Linked DNA regions of Elephas maximus indicus. The protein of the gene in region 2 purifies or fractionates together with the protein of the main gene of each other region. This does not show direct contact. Links are inferred from orthologs where the notes say so. Each region holds a gene or a part of one and is shown on either strand. Other genes may lie near its edges.

Evidence for each region.
Region 1: the proteins of SLC12A6 (region 2) and RAB6B purify together in Homo sapiens (affinity purification with mass spectrometry; 4 studies listed by BioGRID and IntAct, with this or other methods). This does not show direct contact. The link is inferred for Elephas maximus indicus from reciprocal best matches to the Homo sapiens genes SLC12A6 and RAB6B.
Region 3: the proteins of SLC12A6 (region 2) and STK39 purify together in Homo sapiens (affinity purification with mass spectrometry; 3 studies listed by BioGRID and IntAct, with this or other methods). This does not show direct contact. The link is inferred for Elephas maximus indicus from reciprocal best matches to the Homo sapiens genes SLC12A6 and STK39.

Annotation. Positions count from the first base shown.
Region 1 is NC_064844.1:45,849,289-45,859,726, reverse strand, and holds the start of RAB6B (ras-related protein Rab-6B), read right to left. Parts: upstream 4,196-10,438; 5' UTR 3,867-4,195; coding exon 3,797-3,866; intron 1-3,796. UniProt on the Homo sapiens protein: The small GTPases Rab are key regulators of intracellular membrane trafficking, from the formation of transport vesicles to their fusion with membranes. Rabs cycle between active GTP-bound and inactive GDP-bound states.
Region 2 is NC_064828.1:23,952,649-23,962,722, forward strand, and holds the start of SLC12A6 (solute carrier family 12 member 6), read right to left. Parts: upstream 4,082-10,074; 5' UTR 1-4,081.
Region 3 is NC_064824.1:66,433,449-66,443,621, reverse strand, and holds the start of STK39 (STE20/SPS1-related proline-alanine-rich protein kinase), read left to right. Parts: upstream 1-5,505; 5' UTR 5,506-5,606; coding exon 5,607-5,790; intron 5,791-10,173. UniProt on the Homo sapiens protein: Effector serine/threonine-protein kinase component of the WNK-SPAK/OSR1 kinase cascade, which is involved in various processes, such as ion transport, response to hypertonic stress and blood pressure.

The DNA.
Region 1 (10,438 bases), on a different chromosome or scaffold from region 2:
ACCAAAGGGCAGCTGCCTACAGGGTCCCTGCACTGCACAACTCCAGGGCACATGGTTCCCACTGTGCTCTATGTAGAGGGGAACTCCTGCTGGGCCAGGACAGGGAAGGCAGCTGGTCAGAGGGAGAATCTGGCTGGCTGGCACTGGCTTGGGAAAACAGGCAGGACTTTCCTGTGTCCATTCCATCCCCAAGCTTCGGCTGGAGGAGTCTCAGGGAAGGGGAGATCAGAACAGACGGGGGTGCAGTAGACACACCCTTCGCCTCCCTCCCACCACCACACACTCAGATGCACTCAGGGAAACTTCAAGCCCCACACAAACCAAAGTCACGGTGGACTGCAGAATTCAGGAGGAAGATGTGTGTCTCACAGGCCCACTCTCCTTCCCCAGACACCTGCTCAGGCTTGTCTTCTCTGGATGCCACCCAGGGCCCCAGGCGGGGACTGGAACACATGTCCCCCATGTCGCCATCACTGCCATCAGCACAAGAGTGTGCCCTGCTGGCACAGCCAGCCATCTGACCACTAGCAGGATTGCACAGCCTCCGTAATGCCAGGATATCTCCTACCCTGGGTCAAACAGCACCCTCCTCACAATTCCATCCATGCCAGGCTGACACTCAGCCAGCCTGTATTCCATGGGCCAGGAGACAGCAGCCAAGCTGCTGCTGGGAAGGGGCGCTTGCTCACAGGCTGGAGGTGTTCTTTTCAGAGTGGCTCCTCAAGGGCTTCCCACTCAAACCAGTTCCCTGGTACCTCTGAAGGCCTGATGTCCACCTGGGGATTATCTGGCCAAAGTACCCTCCAGCTGCCTTAGGCCAATGGCCTAGACTGATGCTGCCACTATGCCACGCACGGGAAGCAAGAGAAGACTGTATCCTTCCAGTGCCTTCCCCTGGCCGCTCTCCGCTCATATAGCCAAGCCTATGCTGCTCAAAAAAGTTCTGCCGAGCTCAGTTGGCCCAAGTCCCCGATGTACTAAAGATGAGGGACCTCTAAGGTCACACAGGGAGTGACAACCAGGGTGGGGGTGACAGTCAGATGGCAGGGGGTTCCTTTAACCTCACAGGCTACAGAGGATGCTGGCACAAAGGACCAACACACACAAAGCTGTATGTAAGCAAGATGGTTTTGGAGTGCAGAAGGAAGCAGTAGCTGCAGTGGAGATCCCCCCATCCCACCAGGCTCAGGATGGGCATGTCCCCTACCTAACCCAGAGACCCGCAACGTTCTGTGAAACCTAAGGTAAACAATCCACTAATGACACAAACAGTAGGAGGAGGTTTTTCAGGGCCCTGGGGCTCCCTGCCAGAAGGGACCGGGGTGGCCAGTAGCCAGACTCATTGTTGGCGGTGCCTCTAATCCCTCATGACTGTGTTCCAAGGGCCCATAAACCCTGGCCCCCAACCAATTAGTCCAGCATTCCCACCAGCTCGTCCAACCCAGCCACAGCCTGTGCAGATGGTGGCAACGTTCCACCTTCTCTCAGGAAGGCTCCCCAATTCTTGGCTTCCCCAGTTCAAGGTCATCTCATTTCTCAATGACATGCCAGTGAAAACCGGTGCACTGTGGATAGGAGACACGGGTTCCAGCTCCAGGATTGTTAACAACCCACGATGGGACTCTGGGCAGGCCCACCCCGCTCCCTGGGGCTCAAGCTTCCCATCAACACATGTGGTGGAGGTGGTGGGCTCCATCGCTTAGGTCTCTGACTTTCATTTTTGTAATTTTAGGTGCAATGGGGGGTTTACAGAGCCCATCAGAGGTTCTGAGGGAGCCCAGGGTTTTCACTCAAACTGACCAGAAACATTTTCCTCATCAAACTCCTGGTACTTTGCTGAAACTTGTTCAGACTTGACATAAACGTTTCTTGAGAACCTACAGGCTCCAGGTGCTTTTGAGAGACACTAGGAAAACATGAAGCAGTAAGAGAACTGCCCTCAAGCAACTGAGGCATGAAGAGTGTCTCCAAATTTGCTCACAGTGAAACAGCTAGGAATTCAACCCCCAGGATGCCTGATCCAGGCAGATTTCTCTCCCAAGGCTTCAGGCCCAGTAAAGTCTAGCGGTTACTGGGTCTGGAGGTGAAGAAATACTCTGGTGGCACAGTGTTTAAGGGCTCGGCTAACCAAAAGTTTCGCAGTTTGAATTCACCAGCAGCTCCTTGGAAACTGCGGCGCAGCTCTATCCAGTCCTATAGGGTCGCAATGAGTCAGAATTGACTCAATAGCAATGAGTTTGGTTTTATTTATTTATTTATTTTGGAGGTGAAGAAGACCACTGAAACCCCTTCTAGGCACAGGGAAGAGCCAGGACACAGGACTGGATGGCTGAGTTGACCTTGTTCTGAAATACCTGCTTCTGGTATACCTTCTAACAGCTTTCTCAGTCCCAAGCATTGAGCAGACAGGAGATGGCCAGATGGCAACCTCCACAACACACATGCACAGACAGCTCAGTAGCACTGTTCCCTGAGACCACTAGATCCTTCCAAAGTTGCCCTTCTCTTGGTCCTTTTGTACAGACCTGCACCAAACCAGGTTAACTGGACTGCAGTGCAGCGCTAGAGCTGAGGGTTCTGCCCTCCAGGGCCTGCCTCCTCCCAAAGTCCAGCTAGTCAGGTCCCAGCTTGTCTCCCTGCAGCCCCAGATGACAGGCTTTCGGAGGGATGCTCTGGGAGCCACTCCTTCCTACAGGTGTCAGCAGGGTCCACGATCATCAATCTGGTCTTCCCACCTTCGGACCAACCCGGGTTTCGGAGAAGCTGCTTACCCCGGGGAGGCTGCTGGGCAGCAGTGAAGCGGTTTGTTCCCTGTTCCTCTTCCCCCACCACTCCTCCCGGCTCTGGACCGCTGCCACGCTGACCTCCCCTCCCCCAAGAATGGCGGTGAGCTGGGCGGTGGGGGTGGGCAGAATCCACTGATGATCTCCCATCTCCAAAGGGGTGCTGGGAAGCCAAGCAGGGCGTGTCCTGGGCCTTTCTCTGCCCAGCACCAGGCTTCACAGCCTCTCTGTGTGAGGCACCTCTGTACCATCCCCCATATCTGCCGCGCATTGGGAACCCTCATTCTATCGCCCAGACCCCTGAGCCCAAAAGAGGCTAACACACGGCGGTGAAGGGCTGCGGGTCTAGAACCTTCTGTGCCCAGTCGGATGTAAGTCTGGGGAGGTAGGCGCCCTCTTCCCCCATAGCCTGTGTCTGCTCTTTCCACAGGAGGCAAGTGTCTGCCTTTCCTCGCCCCACCCGCTGCGGCCGTCTGGCCCCAGGGCCGGGACGTGCCCTAACGCACGGTTCCGGGCAGGGTCTGCAGGGAACCCCTCCCGCCAGCCAGGTAGGGGGCGGCCAGACCCGACCCCGCCCCGTTCTCCAAAGAGGGGCGTCTGTCTCCCCGCATCCCCGCCCGCGCCCTGCCACCTGCGCTGTCGCCCGCAGCCGGTGCCGCAGTGCGAGCCAGCCAGCGAGCCCGGCGCTTTCACGCCTTGGCCGGCGCCCCCGAGCGAGCCGCCGCCCTCCGGCCTCCCCGCCGCGCCGCACCTGCACTCACTCACACCCCGCGGCGCGCCGCTAGCCCCCCACCGCAGACCCCACCCTCACCCCCACCTCTACGGCCCTAGGGTCTCCTCCGTCCCCATCCTTGGCTCTTCCCCAGCCGGCTCCGCCCGAGCCGGCCCCGATCTCCCCCTCTCCATCCCTCTCCGCCAGGGCCGGGGGCGGGGGTGGGGGTCCCCGAGGGATGGATGATTTCGTAGCAGGGGTCGAGTCGGCGCCAAGCCAAGAGAATAAGCCGGGTACTTACCGCTCTGCTCCCCCAGGAACACCAACTTGAATTTTCTCAGTGGGTTCCCAAAATCTCCCCCTGCGGACATGATGCTGGCAGCCGAGGCCGGGCGAGGAGGAGGAGGAGGAGGAAGAAGCGCAGAAGCAGGGAGGAAAGGAGGAAGGCGAGGGGAGGCGGCCGGCGGTGCGGGAGCCGGAGGGGGAAGGGCTGGCTGCGCGCGTCCCTGACTCCCCAGCTGAGTCCCGGGCCGGGGCTGCGGCTGCGTGTCCGGCGGCAGCTGCGGCGGCGGCAGCGCAGGAAGAGGAGGAGGGACGCTGGGGCTGGGCTGCCGAGGACTGCGCTTGCTGCGGTGCGAGGGGCGCGCACTGGACGCCCGAGGCGCAGCGCGGACAGCGGGGCGCGGGTGGAGCCGGGCGCAGAGACGGCGCGCGGGGCGGAGGAGCGCTCTCCCGAGCGGTGCGAGTCTGCCCTCCTCCTGCCTCCCTCCACCGGCGCCTGCGCTCTGCGCGCTCCCCAGCCTCTGATGTCATGCGGGGCCCGCTGCGCTGCGGGGCCGGGGGGCTTACACCCGCCCACCCGGAGCCGGCAGCCGAGCGGGAGAGAGCCGTCTCGCAGCGTCTGCGAGAGTCCCCCAGATCGGACCGTCTCTTGCTGTCTCTACGCCTGTCTTCTCCATTCTAATTCTTTTTCGAACCCAGAAAAAATGACATGAAATTGTCAGGGGACGTTTGTTTCTGGTCTTTTAAACCCAGATGTCATTCCCCTCCTCCACCTCCCGAGACATCGATGCACGGCGCAGCCGGTCCGAGAGGGCGGAAAGGAAAGGAGGTGGCTTGAGAGCCAGGATGTGGTAGACGTTTGGAGTGGGAAGACGTACCTGGTTCAGATGGGGCTCGATGGGGCTCGACTGTACCTGGTTCAGATGGGGCTCGACTGTCGCCCCCTGTAGCCTCCAGCCCGTCTTCATTGTCTAGGCCCAGACCCTTCATCTCGGTGGCTTCGTGGGGTCCATAGGTGTCCCCGCAGATCTGAACAGTGAGAGAAGAGGCGGTAATATTGGGGGTGCCTACCTCAAATGAATCATTCTTAGGAATAATTTTGTCCTAAATCCGAACTCTTGCCCAACGGGAAAAAAGGAGCAATGACGCCCCAAATGACAGCATGGCCATCTCCAGGACAGTGGTCTGGATTTTTTGACCCTGGGTCCACCAGCCTGACAATGCCACTCCTGCCCTGGCAGTTATGTGCATCTGGGCAATGAGCTCCTGGAGGACAGGACTGAGACCTCCCGGTCGCCTTTATATTTGTTTGGCCCATTGCAGGCACACGAAGTGGGTGTGAATGGGTGAGAAGATTAGATGCCAAAGGCTGGAAGAGCTCCTAAGATAGCCTGATCACAAGGCATTCTGGTTAATTAAGGTTTCACAAAGCCATCTCTTATTGTCCTGCCACCTTGCAGTCTCTTTTATGACTGTTTAGTAAACATTTATTTGGGATTGTAATTCAGATGTCTGGGACCAAGTTTGTGTGTGTGTGCAGGAAGGGAGAGAGAGGAACTGAGATTGAAGTGAGAAGCAAGCTCTCACCTGTGGAGGGGACATTTGATTTACAGGGCATGCTTGGGATTATCTCCTTGTTTTGTTCACCTAGAGTCTCTCGTTGCTAATTAAAAACTTAGACAGCAAGTTCCACAAAAGCAGTGGTTGAGTCTCCAGTTGTAGATGCCAAGGAATTAGCTTAGAGCTTGCACACAGTAAGAGCTTAATAAATAATTGTTGAATGCCGGACAGAATGTCTAAAACCCGAATCAGAACAACTGTTCTATTTCTCATAGTCACCTTTGGTTTGGAGCCCCAGGGTTTGTAGGTCATCACCCTACGATATCTGCCCCGCTGTGCCTGGCGTCGGATCCCTGGCAGCACAGTGGTTAAGGTTTGGCTGCTAACCAAAAGGTCGGTAGTTCAAATCATTGGAAACCCTATCGGGCAGTTCTACTCTGTCCTATAGAGTCACTATGAGTAGGAATTGACTAGATGGCAACGGGTTTGGTTTTTTGGTTTTGGTGCCCAGCATCAGGCTCAGGGTAACTCTCCAAACTCCCAAACCTCTGTTCTGGGTATCCTGCTGTCTCAGGAGATCATGTCCAGCATGAGGCTGAATGAAGCTGTAGAAGGAGGTGAGACTCCCAAGTCACAGTCCATCCCGTGGTACCTCCACAGAAGGGCCAAGGGAATTATTGGTCAAGTCAGTCAACCAGGCAGCGTTCCTCTGACACGCACCATCTGTCTTCCTATACCCTCTCATCCTGTCCTGAGAAAATCATCTGTGGTAAGACAAGGCAGCTGAGATGACTCTGTGCACAATGGAACAAAATCCTGCCCAGGTCCTCATGATCAGCTGTGAACTGGACCATTGTGATCCACAGGGTTTTCACTGGCTGAAGTTTAGAAGTAGATCTCCTAGCCTGTCTTAGTCTGGAAGCTCTGCTGAAACCTGTTCAGCGTCATAGCGACTAGTGAGCCTCCACTGACAGACAGATGGTGGGTGAGCATAAGGTGCACTGACCAGGAACTGAATCTGGGTCCCCAGTATAGAAGGCAAGAATTCTGCCACTAAACCAACCACCGCCCCCCAACAAGACAAGGCTGCTGAGGAGAGACAGAAAGAGCACTGTCTTTTAGGTAAGCTTTGGCATGTTGTGTACCTTCTCTGATCCTTCACACACAAGGTGGTGTGGCAGTAGATGAGAGAGGGGAGGGGTACCAGCATTTCTGGGCACCTCTAGGCCAGAGTCAGCCCATGGGCTTATCCAACCCAGATGGCATGACTATGGGCCAGGATGCATGGTGGGAATCTGTCAGTCATGATTCTTCCAATTCATATGACAAAAGCCCAACTCCAAATACTGAATGCACAGCGGCATGGGCTGGTTCATGCAGCTGGAGCAGATATGTTGCTCACAGAACGTGGGCATTGTGCTGTGGCAGTCGGAGCCTCAGGGACTCCAAGTTTGCTCCGGCCTCCTTTTCCCTCCCCTTGGCCCTTCTCCATCTTTTATCACTGTTTTGTCTCCTTTTGTTTTGGGTCTTGTCTTTTACCTGCTCTAGAACAGACAGGCTTTCTCCGGGCAGCAGAAAATGTGACTACTGTGACACTCAGCTTGGCAACCCCACTGGAGAAAATTCCTTCCACCTCGGCTGCCATGAGTCGGAATTGACTCCACGGCAGTGGGTTTTTTTTTTTTTTTTTGGCATCTTTCTGTTCCATTTTTTAAATTATGTAAAGCTTCCTAGTAAGAGTATGTATGTAAGTGATTTAAAAAAAAAAAAAAAAGGCCTACCTATAACAATGCCCATGTATGCTCCATCCAGCTGGAGAAGTTGAACGGTTACAATATTTTTGAGGCTTCCTTGGATTTCCCTCTACTCTACCTCCTTCCCTTCCTCCCCCAGGCAGAAATGCAGAACCCTGGCTTTTCTCGGAGTTTGATCACATTTGGATGTGTCCTTCAACAATACCTTGTTTTGTATCTTTTGGACTTTATACAAGGTGTCAAGGAGCCCTAGTGGAGCAGTGGTTAAGGTTGGCAGTTTGAATCCACCAGTGGCTCCTTGGAAACCCTATGGGGCAGCTCTACTGTGTCCTATAGGACCTCTATGAGTCAGAATTGACTTGACTCCAATGGGTTTGTTTTTTTTTTAAGGTATCAAACTGTATATTTTCTCTTATGACTTGCTTTTTTCTTAGCATTATATTCCTGGGCATTATGTTAATGCATATAGTAGCAGTTCTTTCACTTTCACTGCTGTTTAGTCTTCCACCGTTTACCCCAGCTTACGCAATCGTTTGCAGTAAATTATGTCCAGTTTTTAAATTTTGAAATAATTTTGGACACACATAGAGGTTGCAAAAATAGTACAAAGAGATCTAGTGTATCCTCACCCAGTTGCCACTGGTAATAAGATCTTACATAACCATAGCAAAACCAGGGATTTCACATGAAAAATGCATCCAGTTTCGTCTCTGCCAATACAAGCAATGCCATTATGAATATCGTTTACATGTTCCCTGATGCACCCGTGAAAAGTTTTTCTAAGCTATGTATCAAGTAGATAAGTCGTGGAGTAGAACCAAGTGTATGTTTAATTTTGTTAGGTAATGCCAAACTTTTCCAAAGAAGCTTGTCAGGTCCTATAGCTCTCCACCCTCACCAGCATTTGGTGTTGTCGCTATTTTTATTTGTTAGCCATTCTGATAGATGTGTAGTGATATCTCATTGTGGTTTGAATTTGCATTCCTCTAATAGCTAATGAGGAGCCCTGGTGGCGCAGTGGTTTAAGAGCTTGGTTGCTAACCAAAAGGTCAGCAGTTTCAACCCACCAGCCGCTCCTTGGAAACCCTGTGGAGCAGCTCTACTCCACAGGTTGCTATGAGTCAGAATTGACTTGACGGCAGTGGGTTTGGTTTGGTTTTTAAAGGCTAATGATAATATCTTTATATGTGCTTATTTGCCGTTTGTATGTCCTCTTTCGTGAAATGTGTTTTGCCCATATTCTAATTGGATTGGTTTTTTTTATTGTTGAGCTTTGAGAATTCTTCATATATTCTAGATACCAGTCCTTTGTCTGATATGTGGTTTGCAAATATTTTCTCCCGCTCTGTAACTTGTTTTTTCATCTTCTTTTCAGAGTCTTTTGCAGTGCAAAAGTTTTAATTTTGATGAAGTCCAATTCATTGATTTTTTTTTCTTTTATGGATTGCGCTTTTGGTGTCATGTCTAAGAATTCTTTACTAAGCCCTTGGTCCTGAGGATTTTTTTCCTAATTTTTTTTTTTATTTTTACATTTTACATTTAGGTTCATGATTCATTTTAAGTTATTTTTGTGGGAAGTATAAGCGTTAGGTGGAGGTGTTCTGTTTTGCCTGTGGATGTTCAGTTGCTTTGGCACCATTTGTTGAAAAGGCTATTTTTTCTCCATTAAACTGCTTTTGCACGTTGGTCAAAAATCAGTTGGGCGTATTTGTGTGGGTCTACTTCTGGTTTCTCTGTTCACTTCCACTGGCCTGTGTGCCGTTTGCCCCACCAATACCAGACAGGCTTGATTTCTGTAGCTATATAAATCTTGAAAGCATGTACATTGATTCCTTCAACTTTGTTCTTCTTGGCATTTCCACATACATTTTAGAATAATCTTGTATATATCTACAAAAAATCTTCCTGAATTTGGTGGGAATTGTGTTAAGCCTGTATATCAATTTGGAGAGAATTGACATCTTTACTATGCTAAGACTCCCAATCCATGAACATGGTTTGTCTCCCAATTTACTGAGATCTTCTTTAATTTCTTTCATCAGTGTTATATAATTTTTAACATGAGAGTCCTGTACATGATTTGTTAGACTAACACTAATGTGTTTCAATTTTTGAGCAGTTGTAGATGATATTGCATCTTAAATTTTGGTGTCCGCATGTTCATTGCTAGCATACAAAAATAATTTTTTTGTACATTTATCTTATATCCTGTGACCTTGCTGAACTCACTTCTTAGTTACAGGATTTTTGGTAGATTCCTTGGGATTTTCTACACAGTCATCAGAAAGTAGGGACAGTTTCATTTCTTCCAGTCTGCATGGCTTTTATTTCCTTTTCTTACCTTTTCACACTGGCTAGAACTTCTAGCACTATGTTGAATAAGAGTGGACATCTTTGCCTTCTTCCTGAAAGTAGGAGGAAAGCATTCAGTCTTTCCCCAACCATTAAGTCTGATGATCACTATAGGTGTTTTATAGATGCTCCTTATCCAGTTGAGGAAGTTCTCCTCTATTCTGATTTTTCTAAGAGTTTTTATCATGTTATGAGTGTTGAATTTTGTCGATACTTTTTCTGCATCAATTTATGAGCATGCGTTTATTCTTCTTTAACTTGTTAATAAAGAAGATTACATTGATTGATTTTGGAATATTGAACCAGCTTTGCATACCTGCGATAAACTCCACCTCGCCATTGTGTATAATTCTTTTTATATACCCTTGAATTCTATTTGCTCATGTTTTGTTAAGAATTTTTCTCGTCTAAATTCATGAGGGATATTGGCCTGTAGTTTTGTTTTTTTTGGTACTGTCTTCCTCTGGTTTTGGTATCAGGGTAATACTAAAAAAGCCCACTGCTGTTGAGATGATTCTAACTGATAGAAACCCTGTACGACAGAGTAGAACTGCCGCATAGGTTTCAAAGACTGTAACCTCTACGGAAGCAGACTGCCACATTTTTCTCCCACGGAGTAAGTGGCTGGTGGGTTTGAACTGCTGACCTTTGGGTCAGCAGCTGAGTACTTAACCACCACACCGTCAGGCCTCCCTGGGGTAATAACTAGCTTCACGAAATGAACTGAGAAATTTTCCCTCTTGTTCTGTTTTCTGGAACAGATTGTGTAGAAATGAAGTTAATTCTCCTTTAAGCGTTTGTTAGAATTCTCCAGTGAGACCATCTGGATCTGGAGATTTGTTTTGGGGGAGTTTTAAAATTAAGAATTCAATTTTATTTTTAGTTATAGGACTAGTCCACATTATTTCATATTGGGTGAGTTGTATTTTTTGATTAATTGTTCCATCTCATTTAAGTTGTCAAATTCATGTGTATAGAGTTGTTCATACGACAAA
Region 2 (10,074 bases):
CAATACCATTAATCTCACATGCAAGTAAAATTATGCTGAAGATAATTCAAAAACGGTTGCAGCAGCACACTGACAGGGAACTGCTAGAAATTTAAGCCAAATTCAGAAGAGGAAGTGGGACAAGGGATATTATTGCTGACGTCAGATGGATCTTGGCTGAAAGCAGGGAATAACAAAAAGATGTTTACTTGTGTCTTACTGACTGCAAAGGAATTTGTGTGTATCATAACAAAGCACAGATAACACTGAGAAGAATAAGAATTCCAGGACACTTAATTGTGCTCATTAGAACCTGTACATAGACTGAGAGGCAGTTATTAAAACAGAACAAGGGGATAATGCAGGTTTAAAATGAGGAAGGTTGTGCATCAGGGTTGCATCCTTTCACCGTACTTAATTTAATCTATATGATGAGCAAATAATCCAAGAAGCTGGACCATACGAAGAAGAAAGAAGCATGAGGACTGGAGGAAGACTCATTAACAACCTATGATATGCAGATAACACAACCTTGCTTACTCAAAGTGAAGAGGACTTGAAGCACTTACCAATGAAAATCAAAGATTACACAGCCTTCAGTGAGGTTTATACCTTAACATTAAAAAAAAAACTCACAACTGGACCAATAAGCAATATCATGATAAACAGAGATAACACTGAAGTTGTCAAGGATTTCATTTTACTTGGATCTACAATCAATGCCCATGGAAGCAGCAGTCAAGAAATCAAATGACATATTATGTCGGGGAAATCTGGTGCAAAAGGCCTCTTTAAAGTGTTAAAAAGCAAAGATGTCACCTTGAGGACTAAGGTACGCCTGACACAAGCCATGGTATTTGCAATTGCCTCAGATTCATGTGAAAGCTGGACAATGAATAAGGAAGACTAAAGAAGAACTGATCCACTTGAATACTGATGCCGAAGAATACTGAATATACCATGGACTGCCAGAAGAATGAACAAATCTGTCTTAGAAGAAGTACAGCTACAATGCTCCTTCAAAGTGAGGGCCATGAGACTTCATCTTGCTTACTTTGGACATGTTATCAGGAGGGACCATTCCCTGGAGGACAACATGCTTGGTAAAGCAGAAGGTCAGCAAAAAAGATGAAGACAATGAGACGGACTGGACCAGTGGCTGCAACAATGAGTAACGATTATGAGGATGGTACAGGACCAGGCAGTGTTTCTTTCTGTTGTGTGTGGGATCACTATGAGTTGGAACCAACTTGATGGCACCTAACACCACCACCATACAGGAAAGAAAAAAAAGTTTATCACCTGAGAAGTCTTTGTAACTATTTTTATCTTTGAAAGAAACTAAATCAGGAGCATATTTACAACCACACTTACAACTCAGGTAGCTACTAATTTATTGAGAGGAACTTAAAGTAGCCAGCAAGCTGTCAAAGATTTCAGTGTTATATTCTGGGTTCCAAATCCATTAATACTTTAGTATAATTGGATGTTTTCAGCTGGATCTTGCCTTTTATGTTTATTTTAGAAAAAGAGCTGAACTGTAGCTGATCTTCTACAGTCAATGGCCAGAAACAATGACCTGTGTTTATAAAACTGTATACAACTTGTGTGTATAAGCCTAAGTACCAATGTTATCTTGTCTTCCTCCCCCTAAACAAAAATCCTCCAAATACAAAACCAAAAAGTTAAAGCCAGGCTTTAAAACTAGGTTTGTCTTCCTCTAAAGCCACTGACGTAAAAAAAAAAAAAATTTGAGGTAGGAAACATGAATTCTTGTTAACCTAAGATAGGGTAACTTATTTATCCACTTGATGCTTTGGTACCACAAATTTGGTACCAGCAATTTTATAACAGTTCTCTCTCAGGGTGAACTGTAGACAAAAGTACAGGTGCAAAAACAATTGAAGGCAAAGTTAAAGCAGTATAAAAAAAAGTTGGGGGAAAGCTAGTAAAGTTGGACAGCGTGTGTATGTGTGTGTGTGTGTGTGTGTATGGAGAGTGGTAAATAGAGGGGATGTAAGAAATAGTCAAGTACAAAGAAATAACACAAGGAGATACCACTACACACCCACCAAGGTGGCTAAAATAAAGACACCACCACCAAATTTGGTGAAGATGCACAACAGGAACTCTCAGACATTGTCAATGAAGGTGTAACTTGGTCTCAGCCACTTTGGAAATGGGTCTGGCAGTCCCCATTCAAAAAAAGCTAAACCCTTTGCAGTCTTGTCAATTCCAACTCATAGCGACCCTACAGGACACAGCAGAACTGCCCCATAGGGTTTCCAAAGTGTGGCTGGTGGATTTGAACTGCCAACCCCTTGATTAGCAGCTAAGCTCTTACTCACTGAGCCACCAGGGCTCCCCAATCCAGCAATTCCGCCCCTAGGTATTTACTCCCCAAAATGAAAACATATGTCCACAAAAAAAGACATGTACTAAAATGTTCACAGTTTATTTATAATATCCAAAACCTGTAAATATCCCAGGTGAGCATCTGCAGTAGAATGAGTAAGCAAATCGTAATACACTCATATACAGAAACAGCACCCAGGATAGGTGCAGGACAATGGGACAAGTACCTCACTTTACTTGGACATCCTGACTCCTTCTGGGGAAAGCATATTTCTTATTTGGGATATTTTTTCTTTTTAAATTCCAACTTTTACTGCAGGAAATTGTTTTCCTTTGGGTGCTTTGGCCAATGACTGTGTCAAAGCCATGCTAACATTTTTATCCCTAAACTGTTACCAGCTACAGACTGCTGAAGACAGAGGGCTTCTCTTCCAGTGTGATTTTGATCGTGACCATTTTCAAAGCACGTGAACTGGGATTGGTTGCTGGGTTGGGCCACCATGAACTCATACATCCACCACAGAGAAATACTAACACTTGGTTCCAAGAGGAGCCTGCAATACGTCATCAGTCGTTCAAGTTTGTCATTCACGGGAATCCAGGACAGCAAAGAGCTGAACAAGACCTGCTGTCTGAACAGGGGAACCTGGACCCTGGGATTCTTTTGCGCTTGCATTCCTTACTTCTACGGATGAACTGTGAGCATGATTTTTGCAAAGTGAATTGTAGGTGTGCGCCCCATGACACCTGCCTGCCCAAGAAGTGTTCCATGTGTAAATGCTGGCATGACTGGCTTCAGTGCTTTGCTCAGACATTTTTACCTGGTTGTGATAATCATGTGATAGATGAGCACCTCATGGCTTCCAGGACTCCAGAATTAATGTCATCTGCATGCACCACTCTTATGCTAGTTGGCATCTGCCTTTCTACACAGTTCTACTACTAAACATTTGCCTTTTCCTGGAAATACAAGTTTAGGTCTCATGGAAATTTCATGGCCAGTAAAGGCTGCTGCTCTAATGTTGTTAACTGACAGATGATCACTTGCTAGTTGCCTTGAAATGATGAATACACTTAAATAATGGATCCCTAACACTTCCTTAATGTGCCAACTACTTCTATCCTCTGCTTTGCTCTCCCTCCCAAAAAGCTGCATTTTCAAAAAAGTTGGCCATATCTACATTCTGTCCAAATCCTGTTCCTTGATACATCTAACTCTAAAAAGAGGTTCATATCAATGTTTTCTTTTAAACATATGAACTCTATCTTTAGATAATCTTAAGATGGAACTGATGATAAAGTTTTGAGGTCAGTCAGAATCAATAAAGAGTATCTTTGGAACAGGAAAGAAAGCATCTTTAATGGGAGGGAGGGGGAATGAGTGCTGGCGTAATAGAAATACGTGTGTACCAGGGAAAGAGGGTGGAAAAGAGAGAGCAAACAATAGACAAAGAAGAGTGGGAAAAATAAGACTGATTACTCGATTGATTAGGTAGCTAGAGAAGCAAGTTAAAACGCTAAATTAAAGGGCAAGTTTCCATCTTCTATAGAAAGTGATATAAGACAAGCTCTGTAAGACATGCCCCTTTTTCCTCAAGGTATTATAAAGAGAATGAAGCGTCCTAAGGAAAAAACTGTATGTAAATTTCCCCAACAAGATTGGTAATTTATATTTTGTCCACACAAGCCAAGTATTTTATCCGTTGTAGAAGGGAAACTGTTCACAATAAACTAGGTAATAAAACCATATATGCTGTAAAGCCCATTTTTAAAATATGTTGTGTATATGTCACTATGAGTTGAAATCAACTTGATGGCAATGGTTTTTTTAATATGTTTATGCACATTAAAAATTGGAAATAATATTGACCAAAAAAAGAAATACAACTCCAGGATAAAAAGGAATAAACTAATGTTTCATGCAACATGGATGAACCTCAAAAACATTATGGTAACTGAAAGATGCCTTAAACAAAAGAGTACATAATGTATTATATATATTATCCCATTGATATGAATGAGGTTCTAGAATGGGCTAAACTGATAGTGCAAAAAAAACAAAAGAAAACCAGGACGGTGGTTTCCTGTTGTTGTTGTTGTGCGCTGTCAAGTCAGTTCCGACTCATAGCAACGCTATAGTACAGAGTAGAACTGCCCCATAGGGTTTCCTAGGCTGGAATCTTCACGGGGGCAGATCACCAAGTCCTTTCTCCTGATGGGTTTGAACTAGCAACCTTTTGATTAGCAGCTGACCACTTAACCACTGTGTCACCAAAGCTCCTTTGGTTGCTTCTACTCCTTAAAAAGCCCATTGCTGTCGAGTCGATTCCACCTCATGGCAGCCCTAATGGACAGAGTAGAACTGCCCCATAGGGTTTTTAAGGAGCTGCTAGCGTGTTCAAACTGCTGACTTTTTGGTTAGCAGCTGAGCTCTTAACCACTGAGCCACCAGATGGCCTCTAGAGGGATGGAAGGGCCCCTGGGTGGTACAAGTGGTTTGAGCTTGACTGCTAACCTAAAGGTTGGCAGTTCAAACCCACCCAGCTATGCCATGGACTAGAGGCCTGATGATCTGCTTCAGCTGAGAGTTCTACTCTGAAATACACAGGGTTGCCATGAGAAAGAATCAGCTTGATAGCAGTGGGTCAGCTAGGGGGATGCAGGCGGAGATTAGCTGGGAAGGGACATGAAATAACTTTCTGCAGTGATGATAATGTTTTATATCTTGATAGGATTTAGGTTTCCACAGGTGTATATATTTGTCAAAATAGCCAATGTCCACTTAAAACGTGTGCATTTCATTGTATGAAAATTTTACCTCAAAATAAAAATAGCTGCAAACAAATACTGAATTCTAATGAACATATTTTTTGAAGTATTTGGGAAAAGTGAACTGATATCTGCAATTTACCTTAAAATACATAAAAACAGGATAGACAGATGGATAGATACATGACAGGACAATTAAAATAAGACATTTATGGTAGAATCTGGATGGTGGGTATATGGATGTTCACTGTAAAAGTCTTTCAACTTTCTGTATGTTTAAAAATTTTTGTTATACAGTGTTGAAAAAATACAGTGAACTGACACCATTATGAAAATGAACACATACTTGACAAAGGACTTGTACTTAGAATATACAAAAAAATAAAGAATCGTACAACTCAGTAATAAAAAGGCGACAGTGAAACTTATTAATAAAAGTTAAAATAAGTTCATAAAAATTTTTGAACAAGTATGTTTATAGTAGCTGTATTCATAACAGCTCCAAACTGGAAACAGCCCAGGTATCCATCGATAAGATAGATTAAAAAACCTGTAGTATAGTCACACAATGGAATATTACTCAACAACAAACAGCGACAAATGACTGATACATTCAACAACATACATGAATCTCAAAATAATTATGCATTATATATTATACATTAATGATATGGATATTGAAGTGTTTAGATGGATTGATGGTATGTGATAAGGCAAATGCAGCAAAATATTAACTACAGAATCTAGGAGTGAAGATATGGGTGTTCACTATACAATTTTTCCAAGTTTTCTATACATTTGAAATTTTTCATAACAAAACACTGGGAAAAAATACAATGAACTTGAGTCCAAATACCTAAAGATTTTTAGATTTGAGAATAAAATAAATCACTTAAGAGTCAAATTCCATTTTATATGAAATTTGGGGGGTTGCATAAATGTTTTTCTTGTACTTGGAGTCTAATCTTGAATGCTGTTTAAAATGAGTGGGGACAGAGTTGAAATTTTACAGTAAAAAAAATTATTTTTAAGTAGTAAGATATAAGAGCAGATGAGGACAAAGGGGGCATTTACAAATGGTATTACTCAGTGTTTTATAAAAAAAAATTATTTTTTATTATACATTAGGCCAAATATTATAAATATTATATTGGTTTTACCAACTAGTTTCAGTGAAATAATTTGTGACTCTAATATGTTTGTTAAAAAAAAAGTTAGTATGTCCATTTTTCAGAAGAACGGGTCTATTTTGGGTAGTATTTTGAAAGTACGACCTACTATGCTACATTAACCAATTATATATTTTTAATCACAGCTCATAACTTATGGTAACCAGCATTTTGTCTTATTCAACCAATTTATTAAAACAGGAAAAAGACAAGTTAGATTTCGTGAAAGGACTGAAACAACTAAGGGAAAGTCAGTGCGAAATTTTGAACATAAACATTCTCTATCAGATTGTAACACAGTTATACTATAGCACGAAAAATCACTGCCACATTTAAAGCAAGTCGTATGTATTTTCTCTTGGTTTTCAGAAACTGCAAACTGCATCATGCAATTTAAACCTATACAAATAATCTAGAGCCACACGATTTCATAGCTAAAATCAGTCTTAAAAAAGACCTAATAACCATTAATGCTAAAAATGGATCCATGGTGCAAGAAAACTTCTATAATAAATGGACAGTAGTTGAAATTCCTGGAATTAAAAACCGCATGTATTTTGAATGCTTGAGATGTACCGAATGTCATCCTCGAGAGTATCCTGTATACATGATGTTAAGGTTTTAGTAATAAAGTCAACAGTATTCTTTTTTAAAAAACGGAATTAAAGCTTTATCAAAGGTACTAGTATATTAATAAAAAACTGGAAAAGTATAAAGTAGAACACATTCCACGAGCATACAAAATGCAGCCTTATTTCATCTTATCTGTTTATACTTTTTCACCGAATTTCCACGGATATTACTATCACACACACACACACACACACACACACACGATGAGAATTTACGTAAGTACCTTATGAGAGAGACATACATAGAAAAAGTTCAACAGGAATACTAAGGAAAGAGCAAATAATTCTGAGTTGGGAACAGACTGAAAATAATAAAGACCTCTCCTAAACTCAATCCAATGCCTGTAGTTTAAAGACACCATTCAAAGCTCATTCACTATCGAGATCTAGCCATACTAGCGGAAACCTCTGAAATTATAACCAATTAAGACTTGCATGCCCACAGTATTTGTTACTACAGGCAGTCCCTGGATTACGAACATCCAATTTACCTACAACCCGTAGTTACAGGCCAACCCCCAGAAGGCCTGTTATACTGAAAATCCAAGGTATGTACAACGGTTCGTAATAACAAATGGGCACTACTTTTCAACACGCATCAAACATTGTTATTATTACTGTATTTTTATGTTAAAGATGTTTTAGTGTATCTGGAAGTGTTTCTTTAATTTTTTTTTTATGCGTAGAAAGGTACACTATATACTAAGACAAACATCTGACTGACGTTGGATACTATTAACTGTTCTGACTTAGGTACATATTTGACTTAGATAGATTTAGGTACAGATGTTGTTAGTAATCCAGGGACTGCCTGTAATGGTGTTTTTAAAGAAATAGTAAAGAAGGAAGAAATTACTTCTAGGTAGTTGCTTTTAATGTAGTGAATTATTACTTTAAAATATTTAGGATGGATATCCTTATCGAATAATTGTTAACCACTGGCCAGGAACTAAATACAAGTTAAAAAACTAACCACAAATGGATAATAAACAAAATGTGGTATATATATATTTTTATTATTAAACAGACATGAAATTGCTCCATAAAACTGCTATGCACGTTTCTAAAAACTCCCCATTTCTGAACTTATCTCCTCAGAAACAGGTAATAAATAGTTCATGGGCCTGCAACGTCTGCCATACTACACTCTGAATATCTCTGTGTTAGAGACTGCTGTAAATATTTTAGAAGAAAACACTGAGTTTACTACTTAAATTTAGAGTTACTGCTTTTAGCTGGGGCCTGAAAAGTATACTGACCCTCTTTCTCAACTAGAAAATGTATATACATTTTCCTTATTTACTATATTCAATAGACATTTTTTTCTCTCTCATACTAGGACGGTAAACATTAGTTTAAAAATAATAAAATGACCACAAATTCTAAATTTTGCCTTACTGCATGGCAGTTATTGAAATAATTAAATGAATGTGTCAATTAGTTTGGAGACCAACTATTGTCTATGAAAACAGGCTTTTATAAAATGCTATCAATGGTAAATATATAATCAACTTTGCGACAAACAACTGAAAGATAGTAAATATGTAAAAGACACTGCTTTGTAGAGGATTTATAATATTGTAGAATAAGGAAGGCAAAGAGTTCTACAAGTTAAAGCACCAGGAAAATCTCATACTCTGATGAGGTTGAAAGAATAATGCATTTGTTCAATATATATTTGACTGTCCCTTTTATGCCAGGAAAGAGGAATGCAATGATGAACAAAACATCATTCCTGCCCTAACGGAGCTCTCAGTCTTGGTATTCAATTAATTGTATAATAAATAAATCATATAGTCAATAAAATATACTAATTATATAATAAAAGTCAATATAAAACAAGGACAATAAGTACAATACAGCTTAAGTCCAGAAAGAAGCCCGAGAGCATAACATGCCACCACCTTTCCCAGCTACTTCTTCAGGAACCTGAAGTTTCAAGAATTCACTAGAGGAAAGAATGTAGTAGGGCAGTTGATGGCTAGCTAACTTGATAGATACTTCAGCCCTTTTGGCTGCTGCCCCAACTATTAAAGGGGGCATTAACATTCGAGTAGTCAGAGCCTTCAGCTTCCACTGTTACTGTTTTCACCACACTGCTACCCATCTCTTTAGTAACAATATAATATACAGGGCTGCCCATCTCTTTCATTAGTGTAAAGTCATTACAGCCTAGGTAAGACAGGACCTAAGAATTACCTGCCAAAGATGTACCACTGGTAACTATGAACCTGGACTATTCAGTAACTAGATTAAAAATTATTAGATTATAGCTCAATTGGCATAACAGTTTAAAAAGAAAATGTTCTACGTTCTACTTTGGTAAGTAGCATCTGGGGTCTTAAAAGCCTGTGAACGGTCATGTAGGATACTCTACTGGTCTCACCCTTTTGGGAGCAAGGGAGAATGAAGAAAACTAAAGACACAAGGGAAAGATTAGCCCAAAGGACTAATGGACTACATCTACCACGGCCTCCACCAGACTGAGTCCAGTACAACTAGATGGTGCCTGGCTACCACCACTGACTGCTCTGACAGGGATCACAATAGAGGGTCCCGGACAGAGCTGGAGAAAAACGTAGAACAAAATTCTAACTCAAAAAGAAAGACCAGACTTGTTGACCTGCCAGAGACTGGAGAAACCCTGAGACCATGGCCACCGGGCATCCTTTCAGCTCAGTAATGAAATCACTCCTGAGGTTCACCATTCAGCCAGACTGGACAAGCCCATTAAATAAAAGAAGACTAAAGAGGAACACCAGCCCAGGGACAAGGACTAAAAGGCAGGAGGGGACAGGAAAGCTGGTAACGAGGTTGAGAAGGGAGAGTGTTGACATGTCGTGTGGCTGTTAACCAATGTTATAAAACAATATGTGTACTAACTGATAAGAAACTAGTTTGTTCTATAAACCTTCATCTGAAGAACAATAAAAAAAATTACTAGATTGCAATTGGCTTACAGTCAACACTATAAGCAGTACATAGAAAATAAAACTGACATTAAACATCATATTGTCAGAACTAAGGACATGTTTTCAAAAACTTAAGTACAATTAAAACACAACCCCAAACAGAATTACCTTGTAAATTTAACTTTCACCTCAGAGAACAAGTGTTTGTAAATCACTGCTTTCTTCCTCCTCTGTAACTAAATTCCATTTTAAAATAGA
Region 3 (10,173 bases), on a different chromosome or scaffold from region 2:
TAGGGTCACTATGAGTTGGGATAGACTCCATAAAACTGTTTTTTTTTTTTTACCCTATGGGTAGAGATGGTAGAACTGACTTTCAGTGAGTCCTCTTTTGATCAGAATTTAAATCATGTTCAGAAGCATCCAAGATTAATGAAAGGCAGTAACTATCACCAGAGCAATTTTGTCTGTAATATAAAATGCAATAGAAAGTCAGTTTAAAGAGCTCGTAGGAAAATAAATGAAAACACATATCTGGAAGTTATAGTTCTTATAAGTTTAATTCCTTAATTCATATGTGATGAATTTAAAAAGCAGTGTCCTCACAATCATTCAGCTTAAAATAGATTTAAAGCTCTCTTTCAGTTTGTAGCTGGGAAATAGGCACTAATGACACCTAACACTAAATTGTGTTAAACCTAATAAAATTGAATCACACTGGTTCCTGACTCTGGATAATAGATAGTGTCGGCTGTGATAGTGGAAAAGCACATGACACCTCTATCATTATGCTATGTGTGAGATGGCTTGGTCTCCAGGGTTGGACAGGATTGTATATTCTTGATTACATTCATCAGATGGATATTTGACATTTCTGCTGAGAATTCATTCAGATATTGAATGTTTGCAATTAAAAAAAAAAATTAAAAGGAAGTTGTAGTCCAGGGTTTGTAACAGTGGTGGTTCCAAAAAAAAAAAAAAGGAGTGACTAATTTCCATCAGTGCTCACTGCCAAAGCCTGTCCAGATAATCATACAGCCTAAGAAGTGAATGCTGCCGGCTGGCTGAAGAACAAGTCCCCTAATCCTGCCCTCCCTTGCGACTGCCACCTGTGACCCCTTCAGTCAGAAACCCTGGAACCATCCCTGTACTACCACAGTGTGTGCTATGGGTTAGGCATGTTACACACACCAGCACCTGTAATCCTTACACAATCCTACAATTTCGGGATGGTTGTCCCTACTTTTAAAAAACAGCGGCTCAGAGTGTTTAGGTCACCAGCTAGTAAGTGCAGAGCCGGGATTTAAATCCAGCTATGGCTGACTTGGAGACCCTGATTGCGTAGTGGTTAAGTGCTAGGGCTGCTAACCAAAGGGTGCTCCTTGGAAACTCTATGGGGCAGTTCTACTCTGTCCTATAGGGTCATTATGAGTCGCAATGGAATCGACGGCAGTGGGTTTGTATGGCTGACTTAAGCCCATGCTCTTTCCACTATGCTTTGCCATCTCTCTGCTTCAAAAAGATGGTCAATTCTTATATTTTAAAAAAAGCAACCTTTAAAATCAAAATCCAGCTCTTCCACAACTTTTCACTCAAAGAGAGGTGCTAGATCCGTGGGTATGAGAGGGTTGGTGATAGCAAGTGCGGTGACAGATTCTCTTGATACCCATGAATATTTGGCCATTTCCCACCATGCAACGGCAGTGACTTTTGCAGTAATTATAGGTTAGCCACGGGAGAAAGATCATCTGTCAATCAAAAGGTCCCCATTCCTTCAACAGATATATTTCTAAAAAGCTTTACAAATTGCATTTGAGTACATTTACTCAATTCACTGGACCAATTTGACTTTCAAAGGATTCACATGTGTCATAGAGTTCCATTGTTTTAACTCCTTAAATAATTCTCAAGTCTACTCCCTCATCTTTATCCTCAACGTCATGGCTTCATTCAAAAGCACATTCCTCTAACTTGACTACTGCAATGGCTTCCAAACAGGGCTCTCCGCCTCCAGTTTCCTCCCATCTAATCTGCCCTTGAAATTGCTGATTCATTTCAATGATTACAAACATGTTTTATACCTTTTGAAAATGTTATATTCATGCAACAAATATTACCGAGTGCTACTCTTTCCCGTTGTTATTCCAGGCACTGAGATACAACAGTGAACAAACTGAACCAAAATTCCTGCCCTCAGAAGCTTACATTCTGTAAAGGCTGTTACTGTCAACATTATTTATCTTTGTTCTGTGCATTTTGTTACAAATTTTGGCAAATAACAATGATGATGATATTGATGATGGCTTTTATTTTATTGAGTATCTACTATGTGTCAGACATTACGCTCAGCCATTCGTACATAAATTATGTTAAAACAATCCAAGAGCAAGCTATTATTAAGTTGATTTTGTGAATAAAGGAATTGAGATTCAAAGAGTTTAAGTAACAAGTTCAAAGTTAGAGGTTAAAACACATTTTGGAAACAAGATTTGAATCCAGCACTGTCTTTCTCCAATACCTGGGACACAACCCAACACATCCTCCCTTAGGTGTTCAAAGGGTTTATGAATAAATGACTGAGTCCTACAGAAGCTCTTTGCACGGCAAATAATCACTGCTAAAATCTGTTTCTAAAATGACAATTTTGTGTATTCAGTTTACCAAAAGCAGTGGTCTGGCCCTCCCCTGCCCCCGACAGTTGGCACTATCTGCAGACATTTAGGAAACCCTGGTGGCGTAGTGGTTAAGTGCTATGTTTACTAACCAAAAGGTTGGCAGCTCATATCCACCAGGCACTCCTTGGAAAGCTGCGGGGCAGTTCTACTCTGCCCTAAACGGTCGCTAAGAGTTAGTATTGACGGCAATGGGTTTTGTTTTTGGTTTGGGGACATATTGGATTGTCATGACTGGGAATGGAGGGTGCTACTGACATCTAAGTGTGTAGAGGCCAAGGGTGCTGCTAAAGCTCTTACAATGCCCAGGACATACCTCCACAACAAAGAATTATTTGGCACAAAATATCAATGTGCTGAAGTTGAAGAACCCTGGCATAATGATGGCAGTTGTAAACAATTAAAAAAATTTTAGATCCTTATTTTTCGTTTCTACGCTTTAAAGTCTGTGAGACTGAGTGTCTTTGTATACCAGAATAAACCTTATTTATATTTTAAAATCCTCCCTCCCCCTTTCAGTTTAAACTTAGTAATGGATTCTCAAGGAAAATTGCCTATCAGTTGAATACTTTAAATACATGTATTTCTAGATTTTAAATAAAACTTTACTCAATTGTTTATGGAAACGTTAACTTAGAAATTGAATCTAATGCTTTCATGTAATTTAAAAAATATAATTCATGCTCTGTTCTTCATGTATAAATACATCAAAGAACTCTGAGAGTGGACAATCTTCTTTAAACTGATTTACTGGTGGAAGTGACTGGTCTGCACTGAATCATCTGTTTGGAAGGAGGACAGCTGGGGATAGAGGTCTGGTCCGAGACTCTGGAATAGTTGTTGCTTTTTTGTGTGTGTGATTTAAATCCATGCTATTGATCTTAACAGCATCATGTTTTCCTATTAGTTAGTTGCAGCTGAGTTCCTTCTGACTCAAGTGTACAACAGAGCAAAACGTTGCCCAGTCTTGAGACCTCGTCAAGATCGTTGGTATGCTTGAGTCCACTGCTGCAGTCACTGTGTATTTTGAGTGTCTTTCAACCTAGGGAGCTTGTCTTCCACCACTCTACTGAACAATATTTTGTTGTGATCAGTAGAGTTTTCATTGGTTAATTTTCAGAAGTAGATATCCAGGCTTTTCTTCCTAATTTGTTTTAGTCTGGAAGTTCGGCTGAAACCTGTCCACTATGGATGACCGTGCTGGTATTTGAGACATTTGTGGCATAGCTTCGACTGTCATAGAAACACCTGAGCTACCACAGTATGACAAACTGACAGACCCAAGAACTATCCTGGCCTTCACGGCCCAATTTTGTGGTTTGAGAGTCAAGTAGTAAATTCTTGTGACAAAATGGAAGTCATATTGATTTAATCGTTTTCCTTTAAAAATAGTCCTTAGCAGTTCTTTGAGGGTGGGGATGGGGCAGCAGCACTTGAAGAGGTGAATAGATGTGGCTTGGTATAGAGAACCAAACCGTACTGGTTGCCTTCAAGTTGATTCAGACTCGTAGCGACCCTATAGGACAGAGTAGAACTGCCCCATAGGGTTTCCAAGGAGTGGCTGGTAGGTTTGAGCTGGCAACTTTTTGGTTAGCAGCCACAGCTCTTAACCACTATACCACCAGGGTTTCCTGGTATACAGAGCTCCCCCTTTAAAACATCAGATGCCTAGAATTTATTTGTTTATAGTCTGTTTCTTGACAGACATTAAAATCAATAGTTTTTGTATACCCATGCATGAAAGAATGTACTTTCTTAATTCAGCATAAATTTCTGCTCAAAGACCAGAGCATAGTAATCGCTTTGTCCCGGTTGTTCCATAATGCTGTAAGATAGGAAGTCTACTTATCTTCAGTTTATATCAAAGTTTAGAGTGTACAATTAACTTTTCTCCATAACAAATCCCTGATTTTCTTCTGAATAACCTTTCCAAGAAAAATTTAAGCATACACTCAGGAGATACAGTCTTATAATGTTTCTTGGAGTCTTCATTATATACGCTTATAATTCTTACCCATTTCTTCGGTAGTCGTTTTCATGAGAACCATACAACATAATATTGGCCAAATGACCAACATGACCATTGGTTCACGGTTTCCTTTCGGATTAAAGCCAGGCTGGTGCATCCTGGTCATCTTCACTATATATAGCACACAGAGAGCCATTCGAGAAAATGTTAAATATGACACCTATAATTAGAAAGACCTATGGTTAAACAGCAATTTTAAGCATGAGGTAATTTTGGGGATGTCTTAAAAACAACGATTAATCCAAACTTTTCAACGCAGTTTATACAGCAGTAAATTCTTTTTTTCCACCAACCATGCTCTTTAAAAGAAATGCCTGCTATCTGGCCTTAGTGTCTTAATGGGTTAATTTGGCAGGTCATTAAAGGTACAGAATTTCAAAGCAAGAGTTCACGTCTCTCCCACATTTCTTATTCTAACTTCACAGGCCCTTACAACACCTTCCTGGGACCCAACAGGCTTGAACAAATGTAAAGAGTCAGTGAACACCCAGGGGCCTAAGGAATCCTGTTGCACGTACTAAGAAAAAGTAGAAAGACTGCGATTAGATTAGGCAAGGTGGGAATGGGATATTGGCAGGTAAAAACACCGGAAAGTTACAACTTGGGTTATTTTTTAACTGGCTTCCTACAAACAAAGCCAGTGTGGGTGTCTCATTCGCTACCTTGTAAATGAACTTCAGGTGTTCTTTAGTTGGGGGGAGCCTTCTGAATCTGAGAACCTGGCGACGGTTCAACGACTCCGCCCTCGGGGTCCCCAGGGGGCGTCTTCTGGAGAGACTGATTGGGGCGAAGGCACAGAGAAAGCAGGGAGTGGAGGGCGAGCGACGCCGGCCCCGAAAATAAACACAAGACAGCCTTGCTCTCTTTTGGTGGAAACTTCCCCGGCCGCGACCGGAGCGGGAGAGGGCGGCGGGGCGGCGGTTCCCCTCGCAGAGACAGAGAACAGTGCGCACGAGTCTCGGGGCGCGCGGCGAGCGCGGCGGCCGCCGCCTCCCCCCCTCCCCGCCTCCGCCTGCGCTGCCTCCTCCCTCCGCCCGGCGCGGCCTCCCTCGCTCCCTCCCCTCGTGGCTGGCTCCGGCGGCGGCGGCGGGCGGGGAGGGCGTGCGCCGGCCGAGAGGTGTCGGCGACAAGGGAAGGGAAGTTTCAAGTGGAAGGTCGTCCGCCGGCCGACGCGTCCTCCGGTCTCCTCCGGCAGCATCATGGCGGAGCCGAGCGGCTCTCCCGTGCACGTCCAGCAGCCCCAGCAGGCGGCCCCGGTGACAGCGGCGGCCGCGACAGCAGCGCCGGCCCCGGCGGCGCCCGCGGCCCCGGTCCCGGCCCCGGCGGCGCAGGCCGTCGGCTGGCCCATCTGCAGGGACGCGTACGAGCTGCAGGAGGTTATCGGTCAGTGCAGCGGGTGCGGCGGGGCCGGCCCAGGCCGGGCGCAGAGGCCGGGCGGGAGGTGCGGCTGGGGGTGGGCGGGGGCGCGGGATGCTAGGCTCGCTTGCATGCGCGCCCCGGAGGCCGAGCGACCGGCTTCGGGGCCTACCGGCTTCAACAGTTCTCCCCCCCACCCCCAATTCATTTGTTCGTTCTCTGAGCGCTGCTGCTGCTGCAGGAGGCGGCGCGGCGGATGTGACTCGCACTGCAGACGAGCCGCATGCTGCAAACTTTTATCTCCGGGATCGCCGGGGTGGCGGAGCTGGGGACCCGGCAACGCCGCCGCATCTCCTACCACCCTGGCGCCCCGGGGTCACAGTCCTCGGTGGGGGGCCACGCGGGCAGGCAGCCGTGGGTGGGGTGGGGTTGCGGGGGCGCCGCCCTGGGCTGCCAGCGCCCCTGCGCCGCGCCTCGGGAGCCGCGTCCTGGGGGACTCTGCGGGCGCAGCCGCGCTTCTGCTCTACAAGCTTCGCGCCTCTGCCTCTCGTCACTACCCTTTCGCCGTGGGGAACGGGGCCCTGTAGAAGCCGCGGAGGCCCGGGCTGTTTGTCGAGCCTGGGGAGGATGCTGGCCTCACTGTGTGACAGCCGCCTCTCCGCGTCCGCGTTGCAGCCCTACTCTCCATGAAGCCCTGCGCGCCGGGGTACCCGCCCTCCTCAGTGCCGGGCGCGCCGCCTGCCGCCCAGCCCGGCTGCCCGGGGAAAGCGGACTCTGCCTCTTTCCCTGCACCGGGCCGATGCTTTTCTCTGGTCCAGGGCCGAGCTGCAACCGAGAAACCTGAGTGTGTCGGTGCCTTCTAGTCGGCTCACAAAAATCGCTTTATCTTACATTTTTAAAAACCTGGGAAAGTCGAAAAGCAAGAAGCTGTGGCGTTACTTTTCCTTGGGCAGGCACGTGAAGGGCCAGGAGATTTGTGTTGACCTTTGATTTAGAACCTTCTCCGTATGGGATCTTCCTGTTTAAGAGTTGTTAAACCCACTTAGGGAAGCCCCTAGGTAAAGTGAGCCCTCAGATACTAACCTTATTGGCTCTGGGATGGGGTGCTGCTTTCCCATAATCTTAATGTTTCAGCACAGTGATGAAAAAGGAATTCAGGATATTTAACTTAAATGTCTTTTCTGCCTTGCGCTTTAAAAAATTCTTCTCCCCCCACCTTTTTAAAAATCAAAACAGATAAAAGAATTTCATTAGGTGTTTAAATTATTAGTCTTTATCACCTGCTACTGGGTGAATGGAACGTATTTTGCGTTTAAATAATAGCCTTTTCCCAAAGCTGCTTATACAATTAAATACGTAGCTCGTGATGCCACTTGAATACAGTTTAGAGTAACTGCTTACACTGAAATATATTTATGAAAACAAAGGGTGGGACAGTAATCTGGGATAAAAAAGCTGTAATAGGTATCTGTAGCTAAAATCCTTGGAAAACCTAGGCTTTTCATAACTCGGCCAAACACTCTCAAGCTATGAGTCTTCACATCACTGCCAGGATGGATTAAAAGGCTTCAAGAGCTCCTCAAAGCCTTGAGTATTCAGTGAAAACTCCTTTAACCTGGTGTATAAGCCCCTTCATCTTTCCAGCTTTATTTCCTGCCCTCAGCCTGCATCCCCTCTCCCATAGTCTGCTTACATCGGCTGTACTCAGAGTACTTTGCTATCCTCCAACACATCTGGTCTTCCGTCCCCTGCTGCCTTCGCACAGGCTATTCAGTAAGTGCCCGTCTTTGTCCAGGGAGTCTCACTCAGCTTCCAAGACCAGGATGAATATCCCTTGAGAAGCCTTACACTTCTCTCTAGGTAAAAGGCAAAGTAGTGTGGCCTCTTCTGCCCCCTTTTTTACATACCTTTTTACGTGCCATCCCGTAGTTTGTATTTACTAAACAAAATCTGAATGCTTACTATGTCACAAAGGTCCCTGGATTGCACAAATGGTTTGTGCTCCACCACTAACCTAAAGGTTGGCAGTTCAGATGCACCCAGCAGCACTGTGGAAGAAAGGCCTGGCAACCTGCCTCCACAAAGATTACAACCAAGAAAACCATATGGAGCAGCTCTACTCTGTAACGCTTGGGGTTGCCATCAGTTAGAATCAACTCATTGGTAGTGGAGTACTATGTCCCAAGCACTATGCTAGCTGCTAAAAAAGCAGTATGGAAATTAACAAAAATGGTCCCTGCCCTCAAGGATTTAATGAGTTGATTAGGAGATATCTGCAAATAATTCTGTAGGATGATGAGTAAGCACTGGGAGAGCACAAAGAAGGGAGTGATTGCTAGGAGACATAAGGAAGCAGTGAAATTTATAAGAAGAGGTCATATTAGAGCTGGATTTGAATTCTGAGTAAGAGTTTGTTAAATACTTAGTTGTGTAGACAAGCCTCATGCTGCAAACTTTTAGCTCTGGATCACCTTCCCTGACCAGCCATGAGCTCCTCCAGGGGCTTAGTCATCCCTCTGTCCTCCATATGTAGGGCTAGTCCGTAAAAGCTGAATGTACGTGTTTCCATAGAGTTTAGACCAGAGTTTATAACCAATTTACATTCTTATCTTGTTAATTTTTAGGGTTAAATTGCAGGCTTTGTCTTTTGAAAAAATTATTTTAAGTTGGCCAGTTTTCTGAACTAATGAATAAAATCTCGGTTTAATTTAAGTGATAGGATTAATCACAGGGCTTCTTTCTGCTTGCAGTAACATATCGTTAATTATGGCCGATCAATTAAAAAAAAATTTAATGGGGAAAAAAATAGAAACTTACCTGAGAAATTGTTGAGAACAGAAATAACTGCTTATTATTACCTCTACCCAGATCTCTGCACATTCACATTATAGGAAGGGCTTTCCTGCATTTTAAGTATAACTCATATTTTTCCAACTAAAAGAGATGGCCTGTGTGGAGACCAAGTTATTGAAAAATCAAATTGTGGAACGGGGTTTTGTAAAGGCTTAATGTTTATAGGGGATTACAAACCCCTTTCCATTTAGTGTTTAATGCTAGTTGAGTAATTAAGAGTGTACTTGTGGTTAAGCGCCTTTGCTTAAACACTACACGCAGAAGTTAGTAGTTTAAACGCTGAACCAGTTTGGACACGAATGCCATTTGACAGCCTCTGCCTCTACCCACCATAAGGCAGGTGTCATATGATATGATTCCGGCAGTGAGAGCCTTGACCAGCAGGAGGCTCGGATGTGCTGGAGGAGAAGGCCCAGGGAGGCATGGTGTTGTAACTTTCCAGCGTGGCACAGAGCACTTTTTCTTCATTTCCTTCTGGCAGAGGTTGGGCCTCAGGATTAGAAAAGAATATAGGTTTACTAAAATCCAAACAGAGTAGGTTCAGTTGTTTGACTTTTTCTGTTTTAGAAAAATAAACACAGGATTTTCCAAGTCTAAAAATAAAGTTTTCTCTTTGTTGTATTGTTGTTCTTGTGTTATAGATGAATGGAGAAATTGTAATGCTCCTAGGAGTAATCTGGCACAGAAATTTATGCTTGATCTGAAAATGATATAAAATCTGCCGAAGATAGCTTTGTACTTAAAATCCAAAACCAAACCCACTGCCTGTGAGTCGATTCCAACTCATAGCAACCCTATAGGACAGAGTAGAAATGCCCCATAGGTTTCCAAGGCTGTAAATCTTTACAGAAGAGGATTGCCAGGTCTTTTCTCCTGCTCGAGTGGCTGGTAGGATCAAGCCACTGACCTTTTGGTTGACAGCCAAGCACTCTAACCAATGTGCCACCAGGCCTCCTTTTTGTACTTAGAGAAGGGCTACAAGTATTCCGAAATTATTAAATTCCTTCTTTAGCTGTCAGTATCCTTAGTAGATTTCAAATATTTCTGTCTCTTCTACACGTAACTGCTCTTTAGAGGCTTTCTAACTTACTTATACTCTTCAGCTTTTTTCATCTTTGTTTGTCACACCTGTCTCACTCCCAAATTCCTTCTTTATAAGTATAAGGGGCACTCAGAGCTACCTCAGTTTTAAAATTGAGTTTATTTGTGGGTGGTATTAATAGCATCACCATGATTCCCTAAACAAAGAATAAAAGGACAACCACGGAAATGTTGAGTTGGGTACCAGTAATGAAGCTGCACATCCAGAGTGGACTTCTCTGTGGAAGCTGTAGTTATTGCAGTGTCGGTTTCCGTATTTGAGTCGGTTGTTTCAGCAGTGGCTGTTGTCTTTGCTGATTTTCCTCTTCGAAACACTAAATAGACGCCTGCCCCCGAGTGTGTTTGATTTTCTTAGGTTCTTTTGCAGTGTGTGTACGTAACTGGTGGCTCATAAGCCTTACGTTATGTAGTTTCTGATTTCTCAGTATTGCTTCACTTTTGGCCTGAGGGATTATT